Linked DNA regions of Macaca mulatta. The protein of the gene in region 1 interacts with the protein of each later gene in a biochemical or structural test. Links are inferred from orthologs where the notes say so. Each region holds a gene or a part of one and is shown on either strand. Other genes may lie near its edges.

Region 1 (9,459 bases):
CTCGTTTGTTAGATGAGGACAATTATGCTACCTACATCATACAGTTGTGAAGAGGACATAATGCCTAACAGGTGTCTAATATAGTCACTAACATTTAGTAAGATTCCATAAAAGCTATCTGCTTAGTATCATTAATATCATGCTCCAAAAGGCAGAAACTGAAACCTATACTTTTCTCATGCTACACACAGTAGGTTCTCCAAAAATACTTTCTGATTGATTCTGGTTTAGGCTCCATTTGGCAGTAGGTTCACCATGAGAAACATTCCAAGAATCGTGCAAAGATAGTTCCTATTCTCAAGCTCCCTTTTCTCCAGATTCCTTATCCCATTAATTATTCAGTAGGGAGGCTCACCCTGTCCTGCCACCGTTCACATCTGTCAGCTTGCATCTTAGAAAAAAGTTCTCATTTGACAGACTCTGAGAACTTGCTGTCCAGGCAAAGAAAACTTTCCGATGATGAATACAACACAAATTTTAGGTAGCCAACTTGTCAGCAACAGAGAGACAAAGGGACACCAACAAAAGCCAACCCCTCAAAAGAAACAAAGCAACACACCAAAGAGGTAGAAAGTAAAGGATTAAGATATGGCTAGAATACTCTTGCTTATCAGGACCCTTAAAACTAATCAAAGTTCTTGTGCTTACAATATTCGTAAAGGAATGTGAATATGGTTAAACTCTCCTTTTAGCTGGGAATCTGAATTAATATTAATACCTGAATTTTTCACAGAAATTACATTAGACATTCCTTTAGGCAAAGGAGTATATATACAACACTGACATTTGGTTATAAAGGGCTAAGGAATCTCCCAGCTTCCCTAAATGCAGAAGATATCTTAGTGGACTCTTGCTGAGTTAAATGAGCAATTGTTTCTTTTGTTCCTATTGCAGATTATTTGTTTATGCTCCAAATTTTGTGTTAAGGACAAAAGAAAAATACCTTGGCCGAAATGAATGTGTTATGTTATAGCCCCAGTTGAGGGTGAGGAAAGAACTCAATGCTAATGTGGTGGAGAGAATGCAGCAGTTCCTGGAATAGCAGTTGGGTTCCCTGGCTTGAGTTCCCACTCTGACATCCTTGGCTGCTTACCTTGGGCAAGCCCTTCGCCTCACAGCGTTTCAGTCTCTTCAGATGTTAAATACTTTCTATGGGCTCTTCCATGTCTGAGATTTTATGAGGCTACCGGGAGTATGAAGATTAGCCAAAGAAGCTGCCCAAATCTCTGAGTGTGGGGACCAGAGCAGTAGAGAGAGAATGTGATAATAGGTATGCAAACCCTTGGAAAAAAGTGAAAGCACCGAATGACACACATTCCCCAATTTGCCACGGCATGTTCCAAAATCACAGGCGCCTAACATTCTCCTGAGAGCTCAGTGCTCACCCAAACGTCCCATCATTGAGCTGACAGGAAGCAGAGAAGGCCAATGCTTTTCTGGTTGGGGACCTTGGCTGGGATAGAAAGGAAGAGAGGAGTGGAGTCAGCTTCATGAGCCAGTGAAATGGCAATGAACCCTGTAGGCCGATCTGCCCTAGCCTGGCGTTGCCAAGGAGGACGATCCACTTCATCAAACCTGGGCCAAGCTCTGGCTCAGACACACAGGCAAAAATAGAAAGGGGCTGGGAGAAGAAATGTGTTTACTTTTGTGATTTCCCCTAACGTGCCTCTTGACAGTATTCTAATCTCTTCACAAGCAGGAGCCATGGGCCACAGGCCTCACCTCCATTGACAATTCATGTACAGACCTGAAGCCTTCTTAACACTTCAGGGTCACTATTTGGGCAGCTAGAAAGCAAGTTTAGGAGGCAGCATGATGGAATGGAAAGAGTGCTGATGAGGGTGTGTTACTGCCTAGGTGAACTGTGAAAATCCCTCTCCAAGGCTCGGCACAATCAAGTGCTTGCAGAAAGAATGTATATATCTGCTGAGATTTTTAGTTTCTACCAGTGACTCTCAATCAGGGGCTAATTCACACCTCAGGGGCTCTTTTGCAATATCTGGAAACATTTTTGCCTGTTATAAGCAGGGGATGCTCCTGGCATCTAATGAATAGAGGCCAGAGGTGCTAAACATCCAATGATGCAGCCCTCACAACAAAGAGTTATCTGGTCCAAAATGCTAACAGTGCCAAGACTCAGAACCTTGGTTTATACTGAACCGAGGAGAGTCAGTGGGAGAAGAAAACAGGGACCAAAGGAAAGAAGGAAAAGGGGTTAAAATTCTATTTCTAGGTCACGTGGTATCCATCAGTTATGTGTTCTCCAGTTTTTCTCCCCATGACCAATGCCTTTTTAATTTTCCCTCGGAATTACGGGGCCATGTTCGAGTAGCTTCCTCACAAGAACATCTTCCTTATCCCTAAAATGCCAAGCCCTGATGCAGTACAAAGAGCTCCACTATAACACATGGCCAAGACATAAATATAAACAGTTATGAAACAAGTAGAACTGGAAGGTGGGTGGTGGGGGCGCGTGGAGAGAAAAAAAACATATGCCCATAACTCCGCTTCTGTGAGTCAGTGTTTCCGAGGTAACAACACAGAACAATAACCATAGGGAGAGTTGAGCTATACTAAGAGCAGGCAGAACTGATTTGGGGCATGAGTGTCAGGAGAGATGCAGCTTTGCAGCAGCAGATTCAAAGGCAAATGAAAGGGTTAAGCAATCTGTGCATGTCATTCTTGTATCATTCTACATTAAGTCATGGGCAGTTATTACAAGTAGTTACCTGTGGTTTCCAGTCGGGGAGGCAATGGCACTCCAGACAAGGGGTTTTGGAGAAACAGGTGCAATGAAGGCATGGTCAAACAATTTATTTACTGTAAACTTTAGACTTTGCTCAGGAAAACAACTGAAGCTGCTCCTCAAATCCCTGCCTAAAATACCCCGTGTGAGCAAATAAGAGGAGCGGGGAAGAGTCCATGTTCACAGCTGAAAGGTCCGAGATATTCAAAATCCTCAAGTCCGAGGGTGTGGGAAGGAAAATCTCCTTCAGATACAAATTACCAGCAGCAATATATTACCCCTAATACTTGAATAGTGAGGTAGATACATGGAAAAGTCATGAAAACATAGCAGACTCAGGTCCTCTAGGACTAAAGCCCTTTAGACATAAACTTACAAATTCCATGCAAAGAGGAACTGAACTGTACAAATAACAAATAATCACCAAATAAGTTTTCTCTCTTTTTACAGCTTAAAAAAATAAAAAAGGCAGAAGGATGCCCCTCCTCCTGCATATCTCTATACAATTTTATTCTAAGTTTATTACCCTCAAGTTAAATAGTCTGTTTAGTGTTCTGTTGGGGGGGGGTGGTCTTAAAAAGTAGAAAAACTGCTTTACAGCAGTGAGTCATTTGTACTACAACTCCTCCCTTGTGAATCAATGTTATCGCTAGGCACAGTACCTTGATGGCCCACAAAGTCTTCCGTGCCTGGGAGGTCTTCACACAGCAGTTTATTTTCTTTCTCCTGTTCCAGGTGATATCCACTCTGCTCCCCTGTGTTGCCATTGCTGTTGCTGGAGTAGCCATTCCCACAGGCCTTCAAAGAAGACCTGCGCAGACACAGAAGCTCCTGGAAGGCAATCCTGAAATCTGGGCTCCGGCAGTAGATAAGGGGATTGAAACCAGAATTGACATAGCCCACCCAATTTAGGAGGATGTAAACTTCCTTAGGGATGAGGTTATCCTGGATCACATGCACAATGTTAACGATGAAGAAGGGCAGCCAGCAGAGGGTGAAAGTGCCCATGATGATGCCTAACGTCTTGAGGGCTTTGTGCTCCTTCAAGCAGAACTTGGAAGATCTGCGGAGTCCATGCCCTGTCCGCCCATCCTGCTCCACCTGGCTAAGGTTCTGGGCATGGAAGCGGCCCTCAGATTTGTCAATCTTCTGGAGCTGCCTTTTGGCCTCCTGAAAGACCCTGGAGTAGACGAAGACCATGATCACCAGGGGAACGTAGAAGGACACGATGGAGGAGGCAATGGCATAGGCTTGGTTCGTGAAGAAGTCACAGCAGGTCTCCTTGGCATAGCAGTTGATGGCTTCCTGGTGGGTGGCCCGGTACCAGTGCATCTGAATGGGCAAGAAGGAGGTAAGGCCTGACACGATCCACACCATCAGAATGATCACCCGGGCCTTATTCTTGGTCAGCAGGCTCTGATACTTGAAGGGTGAAGTAATGGCAAAGTAGCGATCCACTGCGATCACGCACAGGGTCTCAATGCTGGCTGTGACGCACAGCACATCAATGGAAGTCCAAAACTCGCACCAGAAGTTGCCAAAAGTCCACATTTTCATGAGAATATGGGCGGCCCCAAAGGGCACCACTGCCAAGCCCATGACTAAGTCAGCACAGGCCAGTGAAGTGATGAAGTAGTTGGTGACCGTCTGCAGACGCTCGAACTTGGCAATGGCTGTGATGACCAGCACATTGCCAAACACGATGGCCAGGACGATGAGAGACATGACGATGCCCATGCCCACCACCCACGCCTCGTCCCGTTCCTGCGTGACATCGTGGTCCGGCGCATGGCTTCCGTTGGGTGCCAGCAAGAAGGCGCTGCCGTTCCCGGGTTGCCCCATGGCGCGCAGTCTGGCAGGTGAGCGCACTGTCTGCAGGCGCCTCAGCGGGCGGACCCCCGGCGGGGCTCTGCGGGCCGCGAGCGGACTCCTGGAAGCCTCATTCAGCGGCCGTGGGGTGGGTGTGGTGGGGACACGTCTTGTACACTTAGCTTGTCGGGTGCCAGGGGCTCGCGGTGCCCGCCAATTCCAGCCTGTGCTCTGGAGAAGCCGCCTCGGAGTGCGCTCTGCCCGTTATGTGCACAGGACTTTAGGGGAACTGCCCTCGCCGTGACGTAAGGGAACTTTCGGCCAATGGCACGCCGGCAGGCCCGAAGGGGCGAGGCACCCATCCCCTTTCCTCCCCTCCTCTCGCCCTCCCTCTGCTCGGGCTGGCCCGGGAGGGGCCCAGCTGCTCCCCGGCGGGCGGGCCACCACTCCTTCCCGGCTACCCTGGCTGGCCCCAGAGGGCTAAAGCTGGAGCTGGCGTGCTTACCAGCCAACCCAGCAGCTTTTGGCTCTTCTGTGGCCGCTACCTGCCTGCCCTGGGCGCCTGCGCGGCCTGAGGTCTCAGGGCAGAGGGCAGCACACACCGGCACTGCCCCACATTCGGAGAGAAACGAGAGTGCCCACCAAGGCACGCACATACAGGCACAAATACACCCCGGCAGACATGCTCAGACTTATACGGAACCACAGCTATAGACACTGAGACACACCCTCCCGGCTCACCGACATGCACACTCGCGCGCGCGCTCACACAGAAGCTGTCAGGCACAAAGTCACCCCTGTCCAACACAGAAACGCGGCCACAAACAAACACAGAAGCACCCAGAAGCACAAAGGCATGGTGACACACACAGAAAGTAAACACACACGCTGGCTTGGAGGCATCCAGAGCGACACAGACACGGATGTCTCCATCTGGGTACTCACAAACTTCCCTCACCCAAGCACTGCTAATGCCCCCCTCCCAGCATACACCCGGTAACCCAGTATATTCACTTTCAAACATTTGGCAAGAGCACACAGGAGGTGACTTCAACAGCTGCCGATTTCCTCAGCACACTCGTTGTCAAGTACTTTGGGTGCCCTCCTTGGGAATTTGCAGGCATGAAGACAGTTTTACCCTTTGGATTTCACCTGGAGCAGGAGTATGCATGTATGTATTTCGGGACGGAGAGAGAAAGTTGTGTACTTTTGTTTTAATTTTTTTGTTGTTGTTTTGTTTTTAACTCTTGAGAGTGTGGCATCACTCCCTCATTATCTGTTGAACTGGAGATGCACTGAGAATTCAAACAATTTCTTCAGTAATCCCAATGCAACTAAAAAATTCCTTTCATCTGCTGGATAGTTTGTTAATCTTTCGGGTTGCACCATATGAAATTGCCACCATCTGGCGTCTGTGACTTACCAAAATGGCAAATTCATATGGTTCAGAGTCTTAAGAGTGTCTTAACATTAAGAACATTTGGAGCTATAGAAAGCAAAAGATCTTGGCCAATATGGTGTAACTCTGTCTCTACTAAAAATACAAAAATTAGCCAGGCGGGCACTTGTAGTCTTAGCTACTCGGGAGGCTGGGACAGGAGAATCACTTGAACCTGGGAGGTGGAGGTTGCAGTGAGGCGAGACCGTGCCACTGCACTTCAGCCTGGGTGACAGAGCAAGACTCCATCTCAAAAAAATAAATAAATAAATAAATAACAAATATAAATATATATATATAAACAAATATATAAATATATAAATACAAATTATAAATAAATATACAAATAAATAAAAACCAAATATATAAATATATATATATATATTTCTTCCTTATGAAATAAAAAAAGTAAGACCAAACCTCAAAAGTAAGATCTTTGTTCATGAAATACTATCCTTTGCATCTGGCATGTGACTTTACTGCTAAAGTGAAATTAATTTTCAGGGTTTGATTTCCCATGTATTAGTGGTGTCTTTGAAAAACTGAAACTATTTCATGAAGTGTAACTAAACATACTTTGCAGATTACATAATAACATAACAATGGCTAACATTTATGGACCATTCTGCTATGTGCTTTTCATGCATTATTCTATTTAATCCTTCCCACAGTCCCATGGGGGTGGGGACTATTTTTAGCTTAATTAACAAGTGAGGTTCGAAGAGGAAAATGGCCTTCCCAGGGGCAATGGCTGGGCTGTGCCAGAATCTGGATTTGACCCAGGTCTGCCTGAGTCTAAGACCCATCTTTTAATCTTTTCAATGTATTGCATAATTACATGCAGACAGGAGTGATGGACAGGGAGGAAGCACTACAACTGGAATTGGAATACCCACGTTCCAGATTCACCAAACTTGGAGCTTTCTAGTTCATTTTTTTTTCTAAGAGAAATCAAAAGTACCTAATTTCCATTATCTCTAAAGGGGCATAAAGTCTCTTCCATTGGGGTGAGCAAGAATTGAATAATATAGTAAGAAATATGAAAATGCTTTTGCTCATATAAGTGTCACACAAATACAGTTTGTAAGTGAAGTTTATGTAAATTACTTAGCGGTTTAGAATATATTGTTAGTCTTCTCTACTAGAACAATAAAATACTTTAGGGCAAAAGTAAGTTGGGTGTTTACTCTGGAAGCAAAACTCAGAAACAGAATTTAACCTACATGTCCCCTTTAACATCCTTCACAGCAGAAACTGACTTTTTGCAAGACAGATGCCTTAGAAAACAAGTATTTCCGATAAAATCCACAAATATTAATTAAGGATCTATTATATTCACATAGTTTTCAAAATATACTCACCTCATATTTGTGTTTTCCAAAATTGGCTCTGGCATGATGCATTTTAGGAAGAGGCAGTATTTGTTATGCAACAACGTTTCTTTAAATACACATCTACTCAAATTGTGGAACTAAACGATTTAAAACCTCCTTCCTGTTTGTGAAGCTATGGCATAAATAAGCATATTGTTTAACCTTCCTATAATAAGAAAAGAACAAAGAAAACCCCTTTAAGACAAATATTAACTGATCATGTATTTAAATATACACATAAATCACTTAAAAGTTTAACTGAATATTTTGGGAAACTCCTTTTTTAAAACCCACAAATGCTAAATCAAGAACTGGCTAGCCATATGAAGAAAACTGAAACTGCACCCCTTCCTTAAACTTTATACAAGAATTAACTCAAGATGAATTAAATACTTAAACGTAAGACCTAAAACCATAAAAACCCTAGAAGAAAACCTAGGCAATGCTATTCAGGACATAGGCATGAGCAAACACTTCATGGCTAAAACACCAAAGGCAATGGCAACAAAAGCCAAAATTGACAAATGGGATCTAATTAAACTAAAGAGCTTCTGCACAGCAAAAGAAACTGTCGTCAGAGTGAAGAGGCAACCTACAGAATGGGAGAAAATGTTTGCAATCTACTCATCTGACAAAGGGCTAATATCTAGAATCTACAAAGAACGTAAACAAATTTACAAGAAAAAACAAACAACCCCATCAAAAATTGGGCAAAGGATATGAACAGATCCTTCTCAAAAAAAACCATTTATGCAGCCAACAAACATATGAAAAAAAGCTCATCAACACTAGTTACTAGTGAAATGCAAATCAAAACCACAATGAAATACCATCTCACACCAGATACAATGGCCATCATTAAAACAGGAAACAGGGAGGGCACGGTGGCTCACGCCTGTAATCCCAGCACTTTGGGAGGCTGAGGCGGGTGGATCACTTAAGGTCAGGAGTTCGAGAGCAGCCTGACCAACACGGTGAAAGTTCGTCTCTAATAAAAATACAAAAATTAGCCAGAAGTTGTGGCACCCCTGTAGTCTCAGCTACTCTGGGGCCGAGACAGGAGAATCGCTTGAACCTGGGAGGTGGAGGTTGCAGTGAGCTGAGATTGTGCCACCGCACTCCAGCCTGGGCGACAGAGTGAGACTCCATCTCAAAAAAAAAAAAAAAAAAAGAAGTCGGAAATAATAGGTGCTGGAGAGGATGTGGAGAAATAGGAACACTTTTACACTGTTGGTGGGAATGTAAATTAGTTCAACCATTGTGGAAGACAATGTGGCAATTCCTTAAGGATCTAGAACAAGAAATAACATTTGACCCAGCAATCCCATTACTGGGTATATGCCTAAAGGATTATAAATCATTCTACTATAAAGACACATGGACACATATGTTTATTGCAGCACTGTTCACAATAGCAAAGACTAGGAACCAACCCAAATGCCCATTAATAATAGACTTGACAAAGAAAATGTGGCACATATACACCATGGAATACTATGCAGCCATAAAAAAGGGTGAGTTCAGGCTCTTTGCAGGGACATGGATGAAGCTGGAAATCATCATTCTCAGCAAACTAACACAGGAACAGAAAACCAAGCACTTCATGTTCTCACTCATAAGTGGGAGTTGAACAATGAGAACACTTGGACACAGGGAGAGGAACATCACACACCAGGGCCTGTCTGGGGGTGGGGGCCTAGGGAAGGGATAGCATTAGGAGAAATACCTAATGTAGATGACGGGTTGATGAGTGCAGCAAACCACCATGGCACGTGTATACCTATGTAACAGACCTGCATGTTCTGCACATGTATCCCAGAATTTAAAGTATAATAATAATCAAAAAAGAAGGAGAACCTGCTTATATCAATTAGGAAGTTCTGGGCCTTTGCCCTCCAGCCTTGATGAATGGATGTGCACTCTCTCCCTGCTGTTTCACCAAGCTGGTAGAAATGTCAAGATGTAGTCTGCTGACTAAGAGTCTTTTCTCCTGACCTCCTTTTGTGATTATAGGTTTAGAGAAAGTTAGACTGGGAAAGAGCTTAATACATTATTTAGTTTATTTCCCCCAAGTTTGCCAGTGAGGTTACTGA
Region 2 (10,455 bases), on another chromosome or scaffold:
GGGGGCAGAAGACAAGTGAGCAGCTGCAGCACTGAGCGCTGGGTGACAGGGAAGGAGTGGGTGCTGAGGGAGCACTTCCGGTCCCTTCTGGCACCTCATGGTTCAGAAGAAATGCAAAGTCCAGGCCATGCTCTGTGGCCTGGGCTCTCTCAGGTGGCTCCTGCTCGGGGTCAGAGGCTGCAGCTGTGTGGACGGGAGGGAGTGACAAGTCAGAGGCCAACACACTCTTGCTGATGGTGAGGAAACCAAGGCTGGAGGAAGCTGGCTGGGCCACGTGCTCCAAGGCCCACAGTGAGTTAGTGTCAAAGAAAATGTCCAAAGGCTGCCTGAGAAATGGCCTCCCACCACAGCACCCTCCATCCTCCCCTTGATCCCTGTGAAAGAGCTGGGTGCAGGGCTCAGAGGACCCTGACATGTGCCCAGCCTCTGGCCTGGAGGCCCTCCCGCCCCTGACCAGGGGCTGCAGGAGGCGGGCAGCCCCCTTCCCTGGAACCCAGGATGAGAGGCAGCCTTGGCCGGCAGCTGGCAGCCAGGAGCCATGGTTCCTGTGCCTGTCGTGCGACAGCGATGCTAAAGCTTTGCCACGCCAGGACGGTGAGAGCTGGCACGAAGGCTACAGGCCTGGCAGGTCTGGTGCGGCCACTCTGGGAACCGTCCCCTGGGAGATGAGCAAGCGTTCACCAGCCAGCGCAGCAGGGCTTGTGGCTATGGCCGAGGTGCTCCCTGTGGCATTTCCAGGAAACCTGACACCAAGGTGCCAGCAGCAGGAGGAAGTCCCCTGGGGCTTCTTAATGTTTCTCAATGACTCTCCCTGGGGCCAACAACATCCTCAGAGCTCAAGGATGGGGCCACAGACCAAATAGGAAAGACCAGCCCAAACCATCAGTCCAAGGCAAGCCCTGAGCAGTGGAGAGAAAAAGCCAGCTGGCCCGGCACACAGCCCGGGCTCCGGAACGTTGCGTCGGCCACAAAGCAGCTCCCTTGCGGGATGCTGGGGAAGAGGCACTCTGGCGGCCTTGTCAAATGTCACGGCTTCTTCACAAATATGACATGAGCACCCACACCCTGCAATTTACTGCCGACATGGAGACCGTAATCTGCATCACGCTAGAATGCACCAAGAACAAACTTCCAGAACTCTGTGCCCTGTGGTTCCCAGGAGGGGGTTGTCCCCCATCACAAACACGAGATGGCTCTAGAGTCAGAAAATTGCCCCTAACTGGGAACAGAGCTGCCAACATGTTAATACCAGAAAACCCACTTCTGCCAGCATAGACGTGGCCCTTTGCAGTAAGCAGCAAAGCAGAGAAGGGATATTATTGTTTTAGAAAAAAGCTGCAGACAAACATCTCATTTTTAGTATCTCAGTTGCAGCAAAGTAGAAATAACGTGAATATAGCTCCATCCAGCAGCGGAAACTGACCTATGGGGAGCCGAAGGAGAGTAGGGAAGGGGCTTGGGAAAAAGGGGCAGGTGTGAGGGAGGCTGTGCGTCCTCAAGGGCAACACTGTGCTTTTGGTTCCTGCTATGTGTTCTGAGGCAAGAGCATAATCCTGAAAGCAACAGCCAAGCCAACCCGAACCCACTAGCCTGAGCACTCAACCCCTCTGCCAAGCCCACCTGGGTGCAACCTAGGCACGGGGAGGAGATGCTGGCTGCGGAGCACGCCTGCACCTGACGTCACCGGGAACTTACTACTAGGAATTGATTGTGCATTAATAGGACACCTCATTCTGGGTTAACAGCCCAAATTCCCCTGCACAGATTCCAATCTGCATTGCTCACACTCCCTTCAAATCCATTTATCCAGGTAACGGCAGGCGGGTGACTTAACGGCAAATAAGTGAAACCCATGCTCTGGAAAGGAAAGCAGATGAGAAACACATCCCAGAGACCCATTCCTGGGGAACGGGGGGGCTTCAAAGGCCCAGAGGGAGAGACTGCAAGAAAGATCATCTTGTTTTCAGGGAAAGGAGTCAGGAGAATGCTGCCACTGAAGTGGAAAGTTCTGGGTAAGGGACAAAGGCTGGAAGCAGCAGGGTTGCAGCTGGTGCCGCAGGAGTGGAGGAAGGAGGGAGGGAAAAAGCTTCCCGCTGCACTCCTTCCCCCACAAATCAAGGGCAGGAAGTTCTGGCTGCAAAGAGTTAACAGGAACGAGGCAGCGGAGGAACAGGGGCAGGGTCTGGGGAGACAGGGAAGCCAGAAAGGGGCAGGAAGGAGGAAACTCTCGGTGGGGAGGGACCAGGAAACAGCCAAGAAATCGGGAGGCTGCAAGAGGCACCTGGCTCTGACAATCTGCTGCTGGGGCTGCCACTGTCACTGGGGAGGGCAGAGGAACCTCCTGGGAGCGCCCAGGCAGGGCTCCTCAGCTAGGAGCCCAGAGATTAATTACACCAGGCCTCAGTGGTCATATCAAGCAAATGATGAAAATTACAAGACTGCTGGCTGCCGGGAAAGGGAGACGGCAGTTCCTTCAGGGCAAGGTCCAGACCACAGACCCTGAGAGTGAAGGGGCAGCCCCCTAAATTTACCAAGGTGGAAAACGAGGCAGGCCCAGTCAGGCTAAGGGACTGGCCTGGGTCCCATGTGGGCTGGTGGTAGAGGGAGAAGCCAGGTCTCCCATCCTCCAGATACACAATGCTGCCTTACGCTGCCTCCTTCTAGAAGAAGGTCGGGGAAAGGGACTGTTTCCTCGGATTCTATAGGGTGACAGAAGGGGAGGCCCCTGTACCAACTCAATGTGGCACTGTGCCTAACCACTCCCATTCCCTAGGCATTGGAACTCAGAGCTGTGATGCCAGCCCCAGCTCTCGGCCAAGCCACATCCCCAGGCACCAGCCATGGAGGGACTGCCAAGGTGGGCCACCTCAAGGTGTGAACAATTCCCAGAGGCACCCTGTCACGGGGACAAGCCACAGCCCCTCTCCCTGACTCTGACCTTGACCTTGGGGGTATGGGGAAGACAGGCTCCTGCATCTGATGGGACCCCGGAGTGGAGCTGCCCCTCGAGGCAGTAGCTTTGCCAGGGCAGCTCAATTCTCCATCCCAGCCAACAGGAAGGGGGCTGAGCCTTGTGAACTGTGACAGCCAATGGCCCCAGACAAGCGGTGCCAGTCAGCCCACGCCGCAAAATGTGGACAGGGGTGAGAACAGTGGTGTGCAGGGGTGGGTGGAGGGGATAAAGCACAGCAGAGAAACAGCACTGGCCTGTGTGGTCCAGAAACCTGAGGCCCCATTCCAGCTTTCTTCTGTGACGAGAACACGACTCCTCCCCTCCCTGAGCCTCAATGACTTCAACTGCTAAAGGGGAGAATCCCATCTGCTGGGCCTGCCTCCCACAGTTGTCAAAAGGACAAAATGGAGTAAAAAGCACTCTGCAAACGGAAAAGTGTCGGGCAAACATGAGACGTGGTCAGGATCACCATCGGGGCGGCGGGGGGTGCGCTCTGCCCCACTGGGTGTGCAAGGCAAGGCATTATGCAAAGGGTGGCTTGCTCCCTAATGCCCCAGGCCTGGACCCCCATGTAGGGGTGGCCCATAGCCCTTCCCAGGCCTTAGCACACTGACATTCGGCGCTCGCACCTCCAGTCCATTTCACAGATGTGGGCAATTTGCGGAAGGCCATGCTGCTGATGGTGACCCAATGTGAAAACCTGGGCTGCCTGGCTCCGCCTCCTGCTGTCCTCCTAGAATCCTATCCAACCTTGTTTCTGCTCAGGACTGCCTGGGGCGTCACACAGTCCTGGTATTTCTTGGGCAACTACTACATGCAAGGCATGGCCTTGCCAGCTTCACAGGTTGGTTGAAGAATTGAGAGGACAGATGTCAAAACAGGTAAGTCAGTAATAACTCCTATCATTATTGCTATCATCGCCATCACTGCTGTGGATGGGAAAGGGGACAGGAAAAGAAGAACATCTCGTTTCTCCGGGTTCTGACACCTGCAGAGCCAAGGCGGCACCCCATCAGAAGCAATGCATTCTGGGGGGAAAAGTACACGAACGCAGACAGTTCCAGAAAAGGTCCCACCTCACACATTGCCGAACTCCATCCTGCAGGAGGGTCTCAAAGCTGCGGCCACGAAGGAGAGCCGTTTTGAGCCCTAGAGGCTGACTCCCCCATTTCCTCCCTCGTGGGTTTGTCATTTCTGAACTCATTTCTGCACTAACCGTCACTGCTCCCTGGACAGCCCCCAGCTGACAGTCAGTCTGGTTCCTGTTTTGAGAAATCTGATTGCAAATATCTTAGAAAAAAAAGGCCCTAACGGCCTTTTCAGAATGCAGACCAATTTTCCTCTCCCCGGCCTGACGTTCAGTCAATCCAAACACCCAGTGAGCAGGGCATGGCAGAGGGGGCCGGTGAGGGCCATGGGCATGGCACCCCTGCAGCGTCAGCCCAGGCTTAGACAGACACTTCAAAGGCTGAGGGACATCACAGAGTCACAACTCTTATTTCACGCCATCCACATTTCACAGATGAGAAGACTGAGGCCCAGTGAGGGAAGGGACTTGCCCACAGTCACAAGATAAGACCACGGCAGTGTGGACAGGCCCCATTCCCAGCCTGCTGGGGCACCAGGAGGCTAACTCTCAGGCATGCACGAGGAGTTGCCACACGACACAAAGGACCGTGGCGGGCACATCTGCTCCCTGGCGCAGGCCAGGGCAGCCAATGAAATGTAGAACCGGAAGTCTGAAGCCCTGATCTGTTGGCCAGGTGCCACCTGAGACTACCTGTGTGACTTGGCGCAGGCCACTCACCTCTGGAGCTTCAGTTTCCCCACCTGTTCCACAGGGACAAAACCACACCTGTCCTGGCCACCCCATTCGCTGCTGAGAGGCTCACACAGTGGAGAGATACTCCATCAGCCATAAAGAGCTGGACAAACCGCAGCAATCGTCCACATCCTGTGTACTTTTGCACCTACATCCTGAACAGTCTAAACTTTGATACCAGGTGTGATGTCAGTTGTCTTACAGGGGCGGCAGCTAAGGTCCAGCTGTTGCCAGTGTGCTGGGAGGGCCCCTGGTCAACAGCACCCACCGGGCACCATATGCAGTGCACGCCCGAGAAGGAATGTGGGGGAGAGGGCACGGCATGTTTCCCCCACCTGAGCGCGGTCCGAGGGGGAGGGCGTCCGCAGCACCCTAGGTCCTGCTCACCACGCCGCCCCGAAAGCACTCTCAAGCCCAACTACAGGATAGCGACTCCACCAGAGGGTGGGAGAAGAGTCCGGAAAACTGGCTGTCCCCCCACACCTCACACAAGTGTAGACTGGAGGGGAGACGGGTGGGGGTAGTGGAAACCCCAAGGCGGGTGCCGTGAGCAGGGACAGCAAAAGGGTGGGTGACATCGTCAGGCGAGGTAAATGGTGGCCGGCGGAGGGGAAGGGACCCCACAGGGACCAAGGGCTGCTCGGAGGAGGATGAAGGGGCGCGCCGGGCCCCTGTGGGAGAAGGCGGGAGCTAGGGGCTGACAGCGACTGGAGCGGGGGGCCGGCGGAACGCGATAAGGAAGCAGCAGGGCGGCCGGCGGGACCGGAGCGGGCCCGGGGGCCGAAGGGGCAGAGGAGCTCCGGAGTTGGGGCGCTCCGGGCTCAGGCGCCCGGGGTCTGGGGCTTAGCGTCTGGACCCGCAGGCGCCACGGCCGGGCTGCTCCGGGCTCGGGGGCCGACAGAGGGTCGCGAGAGCCGGCCCCGGGGGTCCAAGTCGCGGGGTCGAGTGTGGGGCCAGGGTCTCGGAGTCGCGGCCGGGGTGCCCGCGGGGTCGGGCCGGGGCCGCGGGCGACTTCTCCTCACCTGGGCTCGGGCAGCAGGATCTTCTTGCTGGCGCGCGCGGCCGGCGTGGCCTTGCTCTTCTCCATGGCCATCAGGTAGCTCACGTCGGCCAGCACCGCCTCCAGGTCCGCCATCTTGGCGGCGGCGCTGCCTCCTCCCGCCGCCGCCGCCGCCGCCGCCGCCGCCGCTCCCGCTCGCTCGGCGCTCGGCCCGGTCCGGCCGCGGCTCGGTCGGCCTGGGGCGCCGACGCCTCCCGCCTGGCCCCGCTCGGCGCCCGCGGCTCCGCTCGCCGCCGCTCACAGGCGGCGCCGCCCCATGGCGCCGGCTCGGGCCCGGCCCCGGCTCGCGCTCCGCTCCCGCCGGGACTGCAGTCGGGGCGCCGCCGCCGCCGCCGCCGCCGCCCGCGCGCCCGCGCCCCGGAGCCGCCGCCGCCTCCGGCCCCGCCTGCCGCGCACAGCGCCAGCGAGCCCGCAAGTGGCCGAGCCGGGCGGGCGATGGTGCCCCCTGGAGGCCGCGCGGAGACCTGCGACAGAGGGCTCAGATCCTGGCGGTGACCTCGGGTCTGGACGGAGACCCGGGCCTGGAACAAGACAGGGACCCGGCACGGAAGACGATCCCAGACCCATTCCTTGACCACAACCTCGGGTCACATCTCTGAATCCCAGGCTCTCCAGTCAGGCCGTGGTCCTGACAACAGACATGATCACAAGGAACCTGGACGCTCACCAAGACACAGATTCAGACCTCTGAACACCACCCCGGGGCTTTCATCTCAGACCCTGGCTATAACCCCAGACTCCCTGACCTTTGACGCAGTCCACGACCTGACACCAGACTCCAAACAGGACCCCAGACTCAAACCTTTGCCCGCCACCTCAGACTCTAACCATGACCTCAGATCACAGCCCTGGGTCTCCAACGCCATACCCAGACTGTGACACTCACCCCAGACCCCTAACAGTTCCCCAGATCCAGATTTTGGACCATGACCTCGATCTCATCCTGGTTACTGACCCCAACCTTGACTCTGACCCTAGGCCACTACCATGACCCTGCATCCTAGACTTGGGGTCAGGGCTCAGACCTAGATTGGACTATCAACTCCAGACCACTGTCCTAGGCTCAACACCCAGAACTGTGGACACAGACTTGGGACTAGGACATCTAACCTGGGACCCACATTGGACCCAGAATCCTTAGTAGGTCACCCAGAACCTGGGATCTGACAACTACAGTCCAATTACAGCCTTCCCCCATCCCCGATCCCACCCCTCCTACTCTAGAACCAATCCTGGCCCCTGCAGGCCCACTCTGGATCAAGTACCCTACACCCAACCCCACCCCCTAACAGGCTCGTAGACCCAGGTCCCTGGCCAGCACTCTTGGCAGCTCCCTTCCGTGTACCCCATCCCATCTAGACGCTCCTTCAGGATGGTTCCACATGTAGGGTGAAACCTCTCCCAGCCTGGGAGGGCACAGAGGTTTCAGTGCTGCCTGGTAGGGGAAACCCACCCGAGAGCCCACCCAGAGTGAGGAAAGCCAGGTGTCTCAAGGCAGCAGTCCTATCTCAACATGCCCCTCTCTAGACCCTCTCTTTGCTTTTGAAGTGATAGGACCCTCCTCCCAGCCCTGGGCACATAGAGCTCAAATCTCATTACCATGTTGTGGGCCAGCAACCAGGATCCTTTTGCAAAGCAAGGCTCCCATCTCTGTGCACTTCTAGGCTACCTTCTTGGATCAGTCCCAACAGAACCTGGAACCAGAGCATATCAGAGCTAGTGAGGTTCTCCTCTCAGTGAGTGGTGAGCCCCAGGTTTCTTTTCCCTAACTGCTCCTTCATTTTCTCCCCTTCTCTAATTTGTCACTATAGTCTCCTGTCTGGCCTCCTGAGAATCTCCTTGAATCTGTCTACTTCTCAGGGTCCTATGGCCAGCCACTGCCCTGATGCAGGCCCTGACCAGAGATGCCTTTCCCAGGTCTAGATCTGATGGAGTCACTGCCTGCTTGGCACCAAGAAGCAGCTCTCCAGGCCTTCTGGGGCTACTGAGAGTGAGAGACCTAGAGGGGTCTCTAGGACTCACCCCACTCTGCCCAAAGCAGGTTAGGTGAACAAACTCCTTAATCTGCAAGTCAAGATCTTGGAGGACTTGGACCTTGGATGCTCCCGTTTGTTTTGCTACCATCCTCTGCACCTGGAGCTCCCCCACCAACTCACCCACCCATTCTCACTTCTGTGCCTCTGCTGTTTCCTGGGCCTGGAAGCCCTTCTGTGTACCTTCCTCCCTGGCCAACTCCTACTTATCCGCTAAGACTCACCTCCTCCCGGCAGTCTTCCCTGACTCCCTGACCCCAACTATGTACATCTCCAATTCTACACTTCCCACCTTCTAGGCCCTATTTTCCATCTTCAGTTGCAAGATGCATCATTGCAAGATGCATCATTGCAAGTTTTGAGAGTGGGGAGTGAAGTCTCATTACATATCTGCATCAATTGGAAAATGCATCGTGATGTTGGAAATGCTGTTATATATATTTAAAGAGTACATACTGTCCCCCACTGTCACTGGTGCTCCTAGTTCATCCCTTGCTCCCAGTGCCCACCACAGGACCTGACTCAAAGGCGTCAATGTTTGAGGAGTGAATGAATGAGTGAATGAGCTGTTGGAGCACATGGGGTTTGGAGTGGAACAAGGCCAGATGCCACAACTTGAAGCCTCTAACCTCCTCTCCCCACTGCCCTGTCCTGACTCTTCTGGACTGTGAGCACAGCCACATGTCAGCCAGGGTTTTCGGGAATAACCTCTATTTAAAAACTTCTGCCTGATGAACTTGTCAGACCAGAGTCTGTGTGTGCGTTCTGAAATGCCAGCCATTCTGTTCCAAGAGGTGGCCTTACCTTCCCACTCCCACCTAAAGACTCAGTCCCTCCCACCCACAGCCCAATCCACACCCCCTGCCAGGCCTGAAGCTGGGGTCTTTTGAGGGGGGCTGGTCTCCCTTCGTTGATTCCTGGGCCCAGAAAAAGTGACTTCAGGAAGCCCCAGGTTCAGAAGAGGTTGGTGTGAGCCCCAGGCCTGGGGAAGACTGGTTTTGGGGATGGTGCTGTCCTCTGTTGGTCCTGGGAAGGTCGATTGCCTTTGCAGGTCAGTGTCAGGCATTTCTTCTCCCTACAAACCTTTGTCCTGTGCCTAGACTGCTCCTGACCAGGATGCTAGGAGTGCAAAGTGGAGTGGAGCCCCATCTCCGCCCAGCTGGCAGCCCCACAGACACATCATTACTTGGCATCGCCACTGGATGACTAATAGATGTTGCAAACTTAGCGCGGCCCACACACTGAGCTCTTGCTCCCACTACCCAGCCCCTGTCCAACCTGCTCCTCTCCCGCCTCCCCATCTCAAGCATGGATCCTCCATTTTCCCAAAATCTAGGAGCTGTCCTCGATTCCTCTCTTCCCTCATCTGGCCCCTACCCCCATGTATACCCCTGCTGTCATACAGCATCTCTGGCATATCTGTCTCTGAAGTACACCCTCGATCCTTCCACTGTGCCCTGCTAAACCCTGGCCTGAGTCTCAATCACCTCTTGCCTGCATGCCTGCACCAGCCTCCTCTCTGCACGCCCTGCTGCTCCTGCAGGTTGAGCTTCTATAGATCTAAATCAAAGCCCACCCCCAACGACTGCCCCTGCACTTAGGATAAAATCCACCCCACTTCCTGTGGCCTGTAAGATCTGCACAGACTGGTCCCTGCCCATCTCTCTAACTCGGCAATTTCCATCCTTCCCCTTCCTCTTAGTCTCCAGCCTCTCTGGTCTTCCTTCTGTCACTAGAACAAGCCAAGTCCATTTCCACCTCTGGGGCCTTAGCTTTACAGTTCCCTTGCCTGGACTGCCCTTCCCCACTTCCGGAGTGGCAGGCTCCTCCTCGTGCTGCCACCTTGTGGGCGGAAGAGCTCCTGCTCAGAGGTCTCTCCCTTGGCGTCCCTGTTTGTCCTGGTCACTGCTGCACCCCTCATCCCTAGCACAAAGTAAGGCCTGCAAAAAGAATCAAGACTCCGTGTTAGCCTAGTCTAGTAGGGGAAGAAAACACCTAAACACATATCTCCAATTAACCTGACAAGAGCTATAGTTTAAGGAAGTGAGATCCCAGCACTTTGGGAGGCCGAGACGGGTGGATCACGAGGTCAGGAGATCAAGACCATCCTGGCTAACACGATGAAACCCCGTCTGTACTAAAAAAAAAAATACAAAAAAACTAGCCGGGCGAGATGGCGGGCGCCTGTAGTCCCAGCTACTCGGGAGGCTGAGGCAGGAGAATGTCGTAAACCTGGAAGGCGGAGCTTGCAGTGAGCTGAGATCCGGCCACTGCACTCCAGCCCGGGCGACAGAGCGAGACTCCGTCTCAAAAAAAAAAAAAAAAAAAAAAAAAGGAAGTGAGGGCACTCGGGAGAAGGTCGGGGAGGGTCGGGTAAAGTCTTGAACATGACATTGTGTGCGTGAGCAGTTTGGAAGTGGCATGTGCCAAGGCCCAGGAGTGAGAGTTTTGTCCTGCTGAGACCTCTTTTCTCCGCCTCCAGCCTGGGCTTTGCAGAGCAGGAGGGCGAGCTGGGGGCTCCCTTGACCTCAGCAGGTGTGTGCCAGATTGATCTGGGGACACTCTTCCCCAACATGGACAGCCACTC

Evidence for each region. The genes of interacting proteins can lie anywhere in the genome.
Region 2: the proteins of ADRB2 (region 1) and GRK2 form a complex in vitro, tested with the Homo sapiens proteins (2 studies listed by BioGRID, with this or other methods). The link is inferred for Macaca mulatta from reciprocal best matches to the Homo sapiens genes ADRB2 and GRK2.

The regions. Positions count from the first base shown.
Region 1 is NC_133411.1:157,781,040-157,790,498, reverse strand, and holds ADRB2 (beta-2 adrenergic receptor), read right to left. Parts: upstream 4,629-9,459; 5' UTR 4,589-4,628; coding exon 3,341-4,588; 3' UTR 3,309-3,340; downstream 1-3,308. UniProt on the Homo sapiens protein: Beta-adrenergic receptors mediate the catecholamine-induced activation of adenylate cyclase through the action of G proteins. The beta-2-adrenergic receptor binds epinephrine with an approximately 30-fold greater affinity than it does norepinephrine.
Region 2 is NC_133419.1:7,115,092-7,125,546, forward strand, and holds the start of GRK2 (beta-adrenergic receptor kinase 1), read right to left. Parts: upstream 6,253-10,455; 5' UTR 5,911-6,252; coding exon 5,798-5,910; intron 4,943-5,797; exon of another isoform or gene 4,761-4,942; intron 1-4,760. UniProt on the Homo sapiens protein: Specifically phosphorylates the agonist-occupied form of the beta-adrenergic and closely related receptors, probably inducing a desensitization of them. Key regulator of LPAR1 signaling.